3 linked regions of the Rattus norvegicus genome follow. The protein of the gene in region 2 interacts with the protein of the main gene of each other region in a pairwise test. Links are inferred from orthologs where the notes say so. Each region holds a gene or a part of one and is shown on either strand. Other genes may lie near its edges. The genes, in order: Usf1, Fosl1 and Creb5.

Region 1 (3,752 bases), on a different chromosome or scaffold from region 2:
ACAGACAGACAAAAAGCAACTCCTGAAAGTTGTCCTGACCATCCCAGGTACCCAGCCCATCGCACACATGTATGTGCACGTACACACCATAAACATGTATGTGCACGTACACACCATAACCTGTCCGTCCGTCCGTCCTTCCTTCCTTCCTTTCTGAGACAGGGTTTCTCTTGTAGCCCTGATCCTCCTAGAACTCACTCTGTAGATCAGGTTGGCCTCTGAACTCAGAGATCCTGCCTGCCTCTGCCCACCTAGTGCTAGGATTAAAGGCATGGTCACCACCACTCAGCTGCTCCTCCATTTTCATCCCAACTCCTGGTGGCAAGGAGAAAGTTATCCTTGAAGACTGAGAAACAATGTGTCTCAGGGTGCGTATTTGAAGCTATTACAGATTATTACTAAAGCCATTATACTCGATGACAGCAGCTCCTTAGGAATAGCAAGGGCAAAGTTTAGACCACCACTATCCAAACTATTAACTAACACCCACCACATCATAACCAACCTACCTACCTACCTACGGTCCATCTGGTTCCAGCTTCTCAGACACAGACTGCAAAAAGAAATTCAAAGCTGGGAGGTAGTGGTTGGATCCTTTGATCCCAACACTCAGAAGGCAGAAGCAGGCAGATCTCGGAGTTCAAGGCCAGCCTGATCAACAGGGTGATCAACAGGGTGAGTTCTAGGACAGCCAGGGCTACACAGAGAAACCCTTTCTACAAAAAAACAAAAAAGAACATTCTAAAAAGACATTCTAGTCCTCACCAGGGGTTTTGGTGCACACAGTCCCAGCACTTAGGGGGCAGAGGCAGGTGATTCTCTGTGAGTTCAACGCCAGCTTGGTCTACAGAGTTTCAGGACAGCCAAGGCTATGTATAGAGAGATCCTGCTTCAAAATCAAGTAAGAACAGAAAATGCATTCCAGTCCTCTCTAAGAAGGGAAAAACTGACATGTTTTTTGCCACTGGGAAACCATCGCTAAACATAAAACTGAGGTTTGGCTCTTGGGCATCATTCTGCTATCAGGGCTCTTGTTTTGTGAGAGTCCAGATTTACAGCATCTGTTACAAACACCAGTGCCCAAGTGCATCATATTCAAGGCTTCTTTATTTTATTCAGCAAGGCTTCCTGTAGAGCAACACAGTTGCTAAAATGTTGCCATGACAACTCCAAATCAACTAAGCCTCAGGAGGAGGGGGGAAAAACCTCCAGGCTCAGGGTTCTGAAGAAGACAATGGGGGAGGAGTCCATCTACAATGTTCCTGCCTTAGGACTTTTGACAACCCGCCAGAGAAAAGGAAAAACAAAGGACTGTACAGACAGATGCCTCCAGAAAGAAACAGCTACACAGTACAAAGCAATAAAATAATCTCAACAAGAAAGAACAAGATTTTTAAAATGCTCTACCCGTATAATCCTCCAAACCTTTCTAATCCAAGGAAAATCTTAGTTTAGCGGATAATATGCCTTGGAAAGACCGTGTGCAAAGAAAACGGTAACATCATCATCAACAACAAAAACAACAACAAAAAGGAACTGAAAGTGAAACTGTCCGTACAAAGTAATGCTGCAAAGGGAGGCAGAGTCCGGGCTTGGGGACCACCTAGGTCTCCATCCTCTAACGGGAGGAACTCTTCCTCCTCCCAAGCTTGTTGCATGGCCAGCAGGAGGAGGCAATGAAAGAGAGGGCAAGGCACAGAAGGCAACTGTATAGCCCACAGCTGTCAGCGCAACTTCTGAGGCCACCCAGCAACGGCGTTAGGCTACTTACTCAAATCTTGGTTGTACATCCGGAAGCGTTTCCTGAGCATTAATAATATGTGACACGGAAATCAGCCTAGGATGTTGTGGTTTGCATGCTCAAAAAAAAAAGGAGGGCCCAGCAAACGTCCTCACCAAGCACAGACGCAAAGGCAGAAAGAAAAAAAAAAGAAATAAAAGAAACACGCACACAAATAGATCAAGTTCCCAAAGAATTCAGGCGCCGGGACCTTGCCTGAGAACGAGGCGTCTCCCTCCAGGCCCACCAACTAGTAGTAGGCGCTTGGGGACTTGAGCACCCGCCAGGCGCGAGCCCCACAGCCCGCGCGGTGACCCCGCCGGCCCAGCCCCGCTCGCCCACGCCCCAGCTGCTCCGCGGAGGAGAGACGGGTTAGGACGCCGGAGACCTCCCGAGGCCTGAGGCTCGCAGCTGAACACCGGGGGCGGGTGGGACGTGTGCACTCCAGGGCGGGGAGCGAGCCTGGCCCACAAAGCAGGGCAGGAGATAAAGAGCCAGGCACGGCCCCCTCCCCCAAAACAAAGGCTCCGTGCCCAGGCGTGGCCTTGCCTGAGAAAAATCTAGCAAAAACCAAAGGTGCCCCGCCTTGCCGATCCACCCCGTCTCCGGACTCTGGCCCGCTCCAACGCACTCACCGGCCCAGGCCGCTTCAGTCGCCAATTTCCCCCGGCAGCGTTCTCCGTCTTTGGATCTAGGTCTCTCCATAGACAGCTGCTCATGCGCAGTCCCAGCCTGCGGCCATATTGGTGAGGGGCGGAAGTGTGTCCTCGACCCGCCCAACCTACAGACAGCCCCAGAGCTGCCGCACTTCCGTTCACTTCAAACTTGATGCGGTCTAGAACCGACCTGGAGATGTGAGTTGATACGGGCTCAGAAGAGAAACAGTATCGTTGGGAACGTCGCTAGAGTCCTACTTGCTTTCAGCAAGAACCAGGAAAAAAAAAGAACGACTATATTATATTTCCATCTTTGTGGTAGGCGGAGCCTTTTTTTAGTTCCAGTCAAAGGAAGTAGAGGGAGAAACGGCGTTCTTAGGCGCCATCTTTCATAAGGGCAATTTGGGACGCCATCTTGGATCAGGGCATCATTTTGAGGGGTTTCCAAGTGGAGTTTGGGACATTTCTGGGCGTACGTGGATCTGAGTATATTCCTTTGTATTAGCGTCAACAATACTCTGAAGATCTTATAGCTTCCAGTTTACCTCATTTGTGTGACTATTTTGATTACCATTTTCCTGGGTGTATACCCAGAATGATTTTGGAATAGTGAAAACACCCAGAATGATTTTGGAATAGTGAAGTGTAATAGGTAGAATTCAGATTCTGAAGTCATTCGGACCCTGAACTGACACCCTTTTGTTTTTTGTTTTTTTTTTTTCTTTTGTTTCTTTGTTTTTTTCTTTGAGATAAGGTCTCTTTACATAGTCCTGAACTGCCTGTCCTACATAAATCATGCTGGACTCAATACACGAGATCTCCCCCCAACCCCTAACTGCTAGGATTAAAGACATGCCACCACACCTAGAAACGGCCATTTCTTGACTCTGAGATCTTTGATAAGCATTTTTACTTAGTTACAACTTAATCTCCTCAATGTCCCTGTAAAATTCGAATGCCAATTCACCTTCACCAAATTAGTGGATTGAATAAATTCAAGAGTTTTTAAGCATACAAATCTAGCCCAATTCCTGGCATTAGTTGAACATTATGTAAATACAGTTTTCTCTTCCCCATTTCTTGACCACCGTGAACCCAGTTCTACTTTCTAGCCACAGGTTTCCATGACAACTGAGGAAGAATATCTAAATAAGAAAAAACGAGATATGTACATTTTGGCAACAAATGTGATCCCTTTCACCCAAAACTTTAATAAAAGTAAGTACATACACAATTTAAAAGTAAAAAAAAAAAAAAAATCAGCTTTTATTATCAAACAGCCACCATTGCTAAATGGGACCTGTAGTCCCAGCTTG
Region 2 (3,156 bases):
AGTTCCCATCGGCGGTGCTGCAGAGCTAGGGCTGACTCCCCATCACCTGGATTTGGGGTGGGATTTGAGACTGTGGTAGATCACTAACTCCCCCGATGGGCGCCAAGACAGGCCGAAATCCGGCCACTGAAGTGGCTCCAGCTCCCTTCCAGGCTCCTTCCTGTCCAAAACAATGGGACAGGAAGCAGGTGTTGGGGGCCTAAAGCCCACTGAGCCCGCCTGGTCAGATGGTGGAAGGATATACTGCCGTCCTTCCCTGCCCCCAGTCCTTAAGACAGAAGTAATGTGGGTTCCCATGGGGAAAATAATTGATAATCTTCTTTGCTTGCACTCCAAAGCATTCTCAATCTCTCAGTACAGGCAGAACAGAGGTAGCCCCATTCTTCAGGTGAGAATATTGAAGTCCAAAAACATATATGGCAGTTTCTTCAAGGTCACAGCTAAGACTGGAACCTGGAGCTCCTGTTCCAAATGGTTTCCTTTAGCCTCTGGATCCAACATGACAACTCAGACTAGAGCTTCAAGCCTTTTATTCCATTTTGGAAGGTTTGTATAAAAATAGTCTCTTTAGGAAAATAAATAGCAGCTGCCCTTGCTGTGGAGGCTTGGATACCCCAGAGCTAAAAGCTTCTCAGAGCTAGGGAGTACAGCTCAGCTCATCACAGAAGCTGTTGGTGCCTCCTGATCAGGAGGAGCCTACAGGGTGTCCTGGTGCTGCTGGCTGTTGGTGCTGTGTGAGTTAGTGTTCTAGGCTAGTTAAAGGGCACCTTCTATCTAGGCTTAGAGTAGGCTGGATAACATGAAGAAAGTGACATGGTGTGGGAAAGTGGTCTGCAAGGCATCAAAGGACCACTGGGGATCTACAAAGTCAGAGCTGCCAGGCTTACTCTGGCAGAGGGGACATATTTTCTCTGTATGCAAATTATGATAGGCCAGCTCTAGAGAAACAGTGAGCAGCTTTGGGGACCCCCAAGCTGGCTCTATATCAAAGCATAACATGTTTGTTCTACTTGAAAGAGATAAAAGACCTGCTGGTTTGGGGCATGGGTATGGTCCAGGCCTGCTGGATGAACAGGGAAAGGAGATGACAACGGGTAGCACCTGCAAGGGGTGTGGCTGGGTGCCTCACAAAGCCAGGAGTGTGGGAGAACCTAGGGGGTCGGAGGAGGGGTCACCACTGCTGCTGCTACTCTTTCGATGGGCTGAGGAACAAGGCTCTGGTGTGCTAGGATAGGTGAAAACCAGACTCGGAGTAAAAGGAGTCAGAGAGGGTGTGGTCATGAGCGTGGGGGTATGCAGTGCTTCCGGTTCAAGTACGGGTCCTGGAGAAAGGGAGATACAAGGCACTGGGCGGCAGGGGCCCGGTGGGCTACCCGCCCCACTCGTGCTGCTGGTACCACCTGTGTCCTTCTTGTCTTCTTCTGGGATTTTGCAGATGGGGCGATGGGCTTCCAGCACCAGCTCAAGGCGTTCCTTCTGCTTCTGCAGCTCTTCGATCTCACGCTGCAGCCCCGATTTCTCATCCTCCAACTTGTCGGTCTCCTTTACAGGATTAGCAGAAAGTTAGGAAAATGAAGGCTAAAGATCTCCAAGCCTCAGGCTGGAGTAGGGATTGTGCCTGGAATCCCCAACAAGTCTGGACTGCAACTCCCATGAGCCCCTGGGAGAAAATGGGCATGACTCCCATCAGGCCCAAGCGTCTTAGGAGATTTGCCTACCAACTAGGACTCTGCATTGAAGCCCAAGACAAACAATAGTTAAGCCACTTTCCCTTATCCTTTTTCCAGGACTTCCCCTCGGACAGGGAGGAAGGCAGAGTGTGGAAGAGTAACTTATTGGGTCTCTTATGTTCCTGGGAGCCGAGGCCCCTCTTAGGCTCGGTGGTTCCGGGCCTGGGGACCCTCTGTATCAGATGATGCTCACCGCCTGCAGGAAGTCTGTCAATTCCTTTCTTCGGTTTCTGCACTTAGCAGCTGCTAGCTTGTTCCGCTCTCGTCTCACCCTGCGGCGCTCTTCCTCCTCCGGGCTGATCTAGGTTGGGAGAGAAGGGGGACAATGAGGCTGACCCTGAGCCACCAGCTGCCCTGAGCTGGCCATCCAACTTTCCTTCAGCCTGTAGTTTAGGTACCCACACTCCACAGTTGTTTCTGTGTACCAGCGGCTGGTCACCTCATAGATGACATTCCCAGCCACACCTGGCTTTACTGCTGGTTTCTTTCCTGTAATGCTTTCCCTCTCCATAAACTTTGACCTTCCTCATCTTAGGACTGGACTAAGATGTTGGGACCCCAGGAGGCCTTCTCATCTCTCAGGCTGAAGTAGTCATCCCTCCTGAGTGTGTGAGACATGATTATCTCTTTTTTTTTTTTTTTTTTTTTTTTTTTTTTTTTGGTTCTTTTTTTTCCCGGAGCTGGGGACCGAACCCAGGGCCTTGCGCTTCCTAGGCAAGCGCTCTACCACTGAGCTAAATCCCCAACCCCGATTATCTCTTTTTACAGAACTCTCTCAGCCTTCTCATCTGTGGAAGATGAGATTTCTTTCCCCACAGGAGCTATGAATGGTAGAAGGTGCCCTTGAGTGCCAAAAGTTACTAGCAAAGCAATTTCTAGGACTTTCGTTTAGTGCTAGGGATCAAACCCATGGCCTGGTGCAGGCTAGCAAATGCTCTACCACTGAGTTACAGCCCTTACATAGGTTTTTTTTTTCCTGCTTTTCAGTTTTGTTTCTTTGTACTTTAGACAGAATCTCTGAGTAGCCCTGCCTGGCCTTGAAGTTGATTTATAGACCAGGCTAGCCTGGGACCCACAGAGACCCACCTGCCTCTACCACCCAGGTGAAGATGTGTGCTGCCACATCTGGCATGTGTCCCAGGCTGGCCTTAAACTCAACATGTAGGCAAGACTGGCCTCAGACCCCCATTCCTCGACCTCCACCTCCTAAGTGTTAGGAGCCTTGTGTCAGCCTCCGTCCCCCATCCCTTTGGTCTTCCCTGTGTAGATTCTTTTTGTTGTTGTTTGCTTTGTTTTTAAAGCAGGGTTTCTTTTCATAGCTCTGACTGTCATGGAACTCACTCTGTAGACCAGGCTGGCCTCAAACTTCACCCATCCCAAGTGCTGTGATTAAAGGCATGTTTCACACTATGCCTGGCTAGAGTCA
Region 3 (3,652 bases), on a different chromosome or scaffold from region 2:
AAGAAAGGCAGAAGGCTCCACAGTCTGAAGAGTCCAGGAATACTGTCCCGTGTGTCACTGACCCCCTCTGTGCTCACCACACACCCACCTGGGATGTGGTGATGGATTCCCAGGGGACAGCAAAACCAGATTTAGTTTCTACCCAGTGTGATTTCAGGTGAGAGAAGAAATAGATAATATTCATAAAATTAAGAACAGGTACAATCTCATGAAAACTCCTATGGAGGAAATGGTTTCCATCACTATAGAGGTGTGGAAATTTCCCACAGAATGGCTAGTCTGAGAGGTGAAGGGCGGAGTCAGAACCTCAGAGCGTCAGTGTCAGCGTCAAAACAAAACAAAGGGAAACAATATTACAGGTCAAACATGGAGTAAGATCAGAGTGCAGGCAGAAGAATGCCAGAGGTGGGAGGAGAGCACAGAAATGGGTAGATGAGCTATTTGGTAGGGAGGGTCCCACATCTGTCACAGATGCTGCAAACACTGCTGCTTCAAAGCACAGAAGCCACTGAGTGAGCGTGGGCAAGCACACTGGGCGCCATGTGGACTGTGGTGGGTTACACATTTGGTGTAGTGTATGGGAAGGGGGAGACAGAAGAGCCAAGCAAGAGTAAAAAGGGTCTCCCACGACAACAGAGGTTCTCAACCTTCCGAATGTTGGGACCGTTTCATGCAGTTCTTCATGTTGTGATGAACATCAATCACAAAATTCTATTTGCTACTTCTCGGCTGTAATTGTGCTACTGTTGTGATTGTGATGTGAATATCTGATAGGCAGGATATCTGATTGGCAACCTCAAAGGGGTCGAGACTGACAGATTGAGAACCTACCTCGGCATGACAGGAAAGGAGATGACAGTGGTTAGGTAAGGGCTGGAGGAATAAGGCATGGGAATATAGAAAGACGAGGGATGCTTGGGCTACACTGGTTGGATTTGAAACTGCATCTGGGGATGGCAAAAAAGAACTGTTCTGGGAAACTTACGGAGACATCATACATTTTATATTCTCCTCTGTGCTTATAAAGCTGTGACTTGAAACACCAGACTGCACAGCTTTCGTGATACACGGTGAAAACAGCACAATAAAAAGAATTTCAAAACAGTCAGAATTCTTCTAGGCTTCAGATATAGCGTTGAGATATTGGTGATTATAAGAAATATGAAAATGTTTGAGTATCTTTGAGAAGGTGAGCAATGCAAAAACATCCACACCCTGGTCTAGACTTGGGGGTGCAAGGATGTTCAAGTTCACGTTTGAGAGGAATAGCATATGATGTTTATTTTCACCATTATTTTGGTGACGTCTGAAGCTTTAGATCCTATAATGGAAAACGCAGCCAGTCCCCGCCCGCACGGCCCCCTGTCTCTACACACCATCTCCTTCCTTCTGCATGTGCCTAGCCACAGAGTTTCCTCACGTCAGAACAACCTTCAGTGTGCAAGAGGAGCTTTGGGGCCATATGTATGTATTTCTGAGCCCTTGGGACCCGTGACGACACAGTCAACTCTCAGTCTAAGCCAGGTGCCCGTTTTCCATCTGGGCTCCTTACAGAGTGTGTGGTCAGGGCTCAGAAACCACAAACCAGGGAAAGGTGCCTCGTGATGGGTGCAACCACCTCCAGTACTTACATGTTATCACCATCATTTAACACATAGTGCGGGAAATCCTGCTCTTTGCAGAAGAAATTCAAGGGCCACTTCATGATCTCCTTTGATTTTTTTTTCACTCTTGCTAACACCAAAGTGTGGACAGATACATACTTTTTTTCCTCAAGTGGATTGCAAGTGACACTCCATTTCTTTCCCTGCATCTCCAACCTATTGTCCAATTGACTGCTGGAAGTTCCCTACCCTTCTAGGCTGACCAGCACCGTACCTACCTGTACAGGGTTCTGCTTCAGACTCTTGCCTGTTGCCTTGATGGCCGTGCATTTTCTCTTCCTTTGCCAGGCTCTGCCTTAGTCACATTTCAGCCCTCGTGCCTTGATCAGTCCTCTTCAGCCATGGTGTGCCTTTCTTCTTGTCCCACTGCCTTGCTTCTTCTACTGAACGCGGTCTTATTCTAGCTTATTTCAAACACCATAGCTTCCATCAGAATCATCAGAAATCCATGCATGGCAGTAGCCTGTTGTGTGACTCAGATATTGAGTCTGGAGTTCATCTGGGCAATAGCATCTGTTGAAGAGCTACTCCACTCCACATGCCAGCATCCCACAGGATGACAAGATCCCTGTTCTATATTTCATTATTCCACGTGGCTGTCAGAGGGTGATTTTGTGAAGACACAGAAAAATATGTTACATTATTCTTGACACTGGATCCCGAGGGCCCCAATTTCATCTATTAGAACCATCACATTTTAGAACCTGCATTAAAACCTACACATTTTATAGGTTGTTCAGCACCAATGATTATAATCTAGATCCATATGAGATTCCTGGGCAAAAAGGTATGTGGTTGTGGTATTGTAGTACTGAGAGCAAGGAACTCAACCTGGTATGATGCGTACACAGAACAAGATGAATGAAATCCACCAGATCATAGCATCCTGTCCTACCAATTTCTAATGCAGTGTGCATCACCCAGTCACATGAGGTATACACTAACCCTTCTCGCCTTCCACCACATGGGCCTTCCCTCAGGGTGGCTGGTGACAGGGTGGCTCAGCAAATGTCAAGGCATTTTCAGGTATGCTTTACTCTCTGGTAAGTAGCTATTTCCTCTTAACTGTTCAGATACAGCAAGATACAGCAAGACCTATGCCTTGCTAGAAGCTTTAACTTTGTTTAGGCAAATGATCAGATTTCCAGCTTTGGCCTTGGAGGGCTGGGGAGTAGATCAAATGTTGGTTCTTTCTGACCTTTTCTCCTCTGTCTTCTCTGGGCAGAATATCTCCATGCACAATACAGTTGGTGGGACCATGACGGGGCCTGGAGCTCACCAGTTAGGCAGCTCACGGATGCCCAACCACGACACCAGTGTTGTGATTCAGCAAGCCATGCCTTCACCCCAGTCCAGCTCAGTCATCACGCAGGCTCCCTCCACCAACCGCCAGATCGGGTAAGAAGACTTCCTCTTTGTCTCTGGGAGAGCTCGAGCAACCGTTTGTACATTCTCCCTCGTTCGGGTACTTGGATTTGTTTTTCCTGTCTGGTATGACGCTGCCAAGAGGCCAGAGTGATGCTTTGGATGAGAGAAGGGGGTCTCCGTTTCCTCAGAGCTATTTTGATCGTAGATGTCAAGGGGAAAAACTATTCATTATGTGACATTATTTCTTCAAATAAGATTTGCGAATGGCAGACAAAAATAGTGGTGTTATGCTGACCACAGAAGACTGCTCGGGACAAATGTTTGGTAACAGCAGAAGTTCTGCAGCCCAGGTTCCTCCTTGCAGTGCGCCCCGTCCACAAACCCCTGCCTAGGAGTTTTGGAGCTGCTTAGCTGGGCCACTTGTATATCCCACAGCTGCCTTTCTTCCTGGTCTTTCTTTCCTACCTCTCTTTCTTGTTATTTCTTTCTCATTAGCCCTTCTTGGCCCATACTTATTTCTGGAACAGACAAAACATTGCAGGTAGGGCCCTTCCCTCTCATTTATGGAACAAGGCAATATTGAGACCTTCAGGGAAACTGGTAGGAGTCTCTTGACATCC

What was found.
Region 1: the proteins of Fosl1 (region 2) and Usf1 interact in binary tests that used the Homo sapiens proteins (3 or more experiments, as listed by UniProt). The link is inferred for Rattus norvegicus from reciprocal best matches to the Homo sapiens genes FOSL1 and USF1.
Region 3: the proteins of Fosl1 (region 2) and Creb5 interact in binary tests that used the Homo sapiens proteins (3 or more experiments, as listed by UniProt). The two-hybrid records come from large-scale screens. The link is inferred for Rattus norvegicus from reciprocal best matches to the Homo sapiens genes FOSL1 and CREB5.

The regions. Positions count from the first base shown.
Region 1 is NC_086031.1:86,376,471-86,380,222, reverse strand, and holds the start of Usf1 (upstream stimulatory factor 1), read right to left. Parts: upstream 2,462-3,752; 5' UTR 2,416-2,461; exon of another isoform or gene 1,772-2,415; intron 554-1,771; exon of another isoform or gene 518-553; intron 1-517.
Region 2 is NC_086019.1:212,189,750-212,192,905, reverse strand, and holds the end of Fosl1 (fos-related antigen 1), read right to left. Parts: intron 2,032-3,156; coding exon 1,924-2,031; intron 1,543-1,923; coding exon 1,126-1,542; 3' UTR 515-1,125; downstream 1-514.
Region 3 is NC_086022.1:83,881,080-83,884,731, forward strand, and holds part of Creb5 (cyclic AMP-responsive element-binding protein 5), read left to right. Parts: intron 1-2,889; coding exon 2,890-3,062; intron 3,063-3,652. UniProt on the Homo sapiens protein: Binds to the cAMP response element and activates transcription.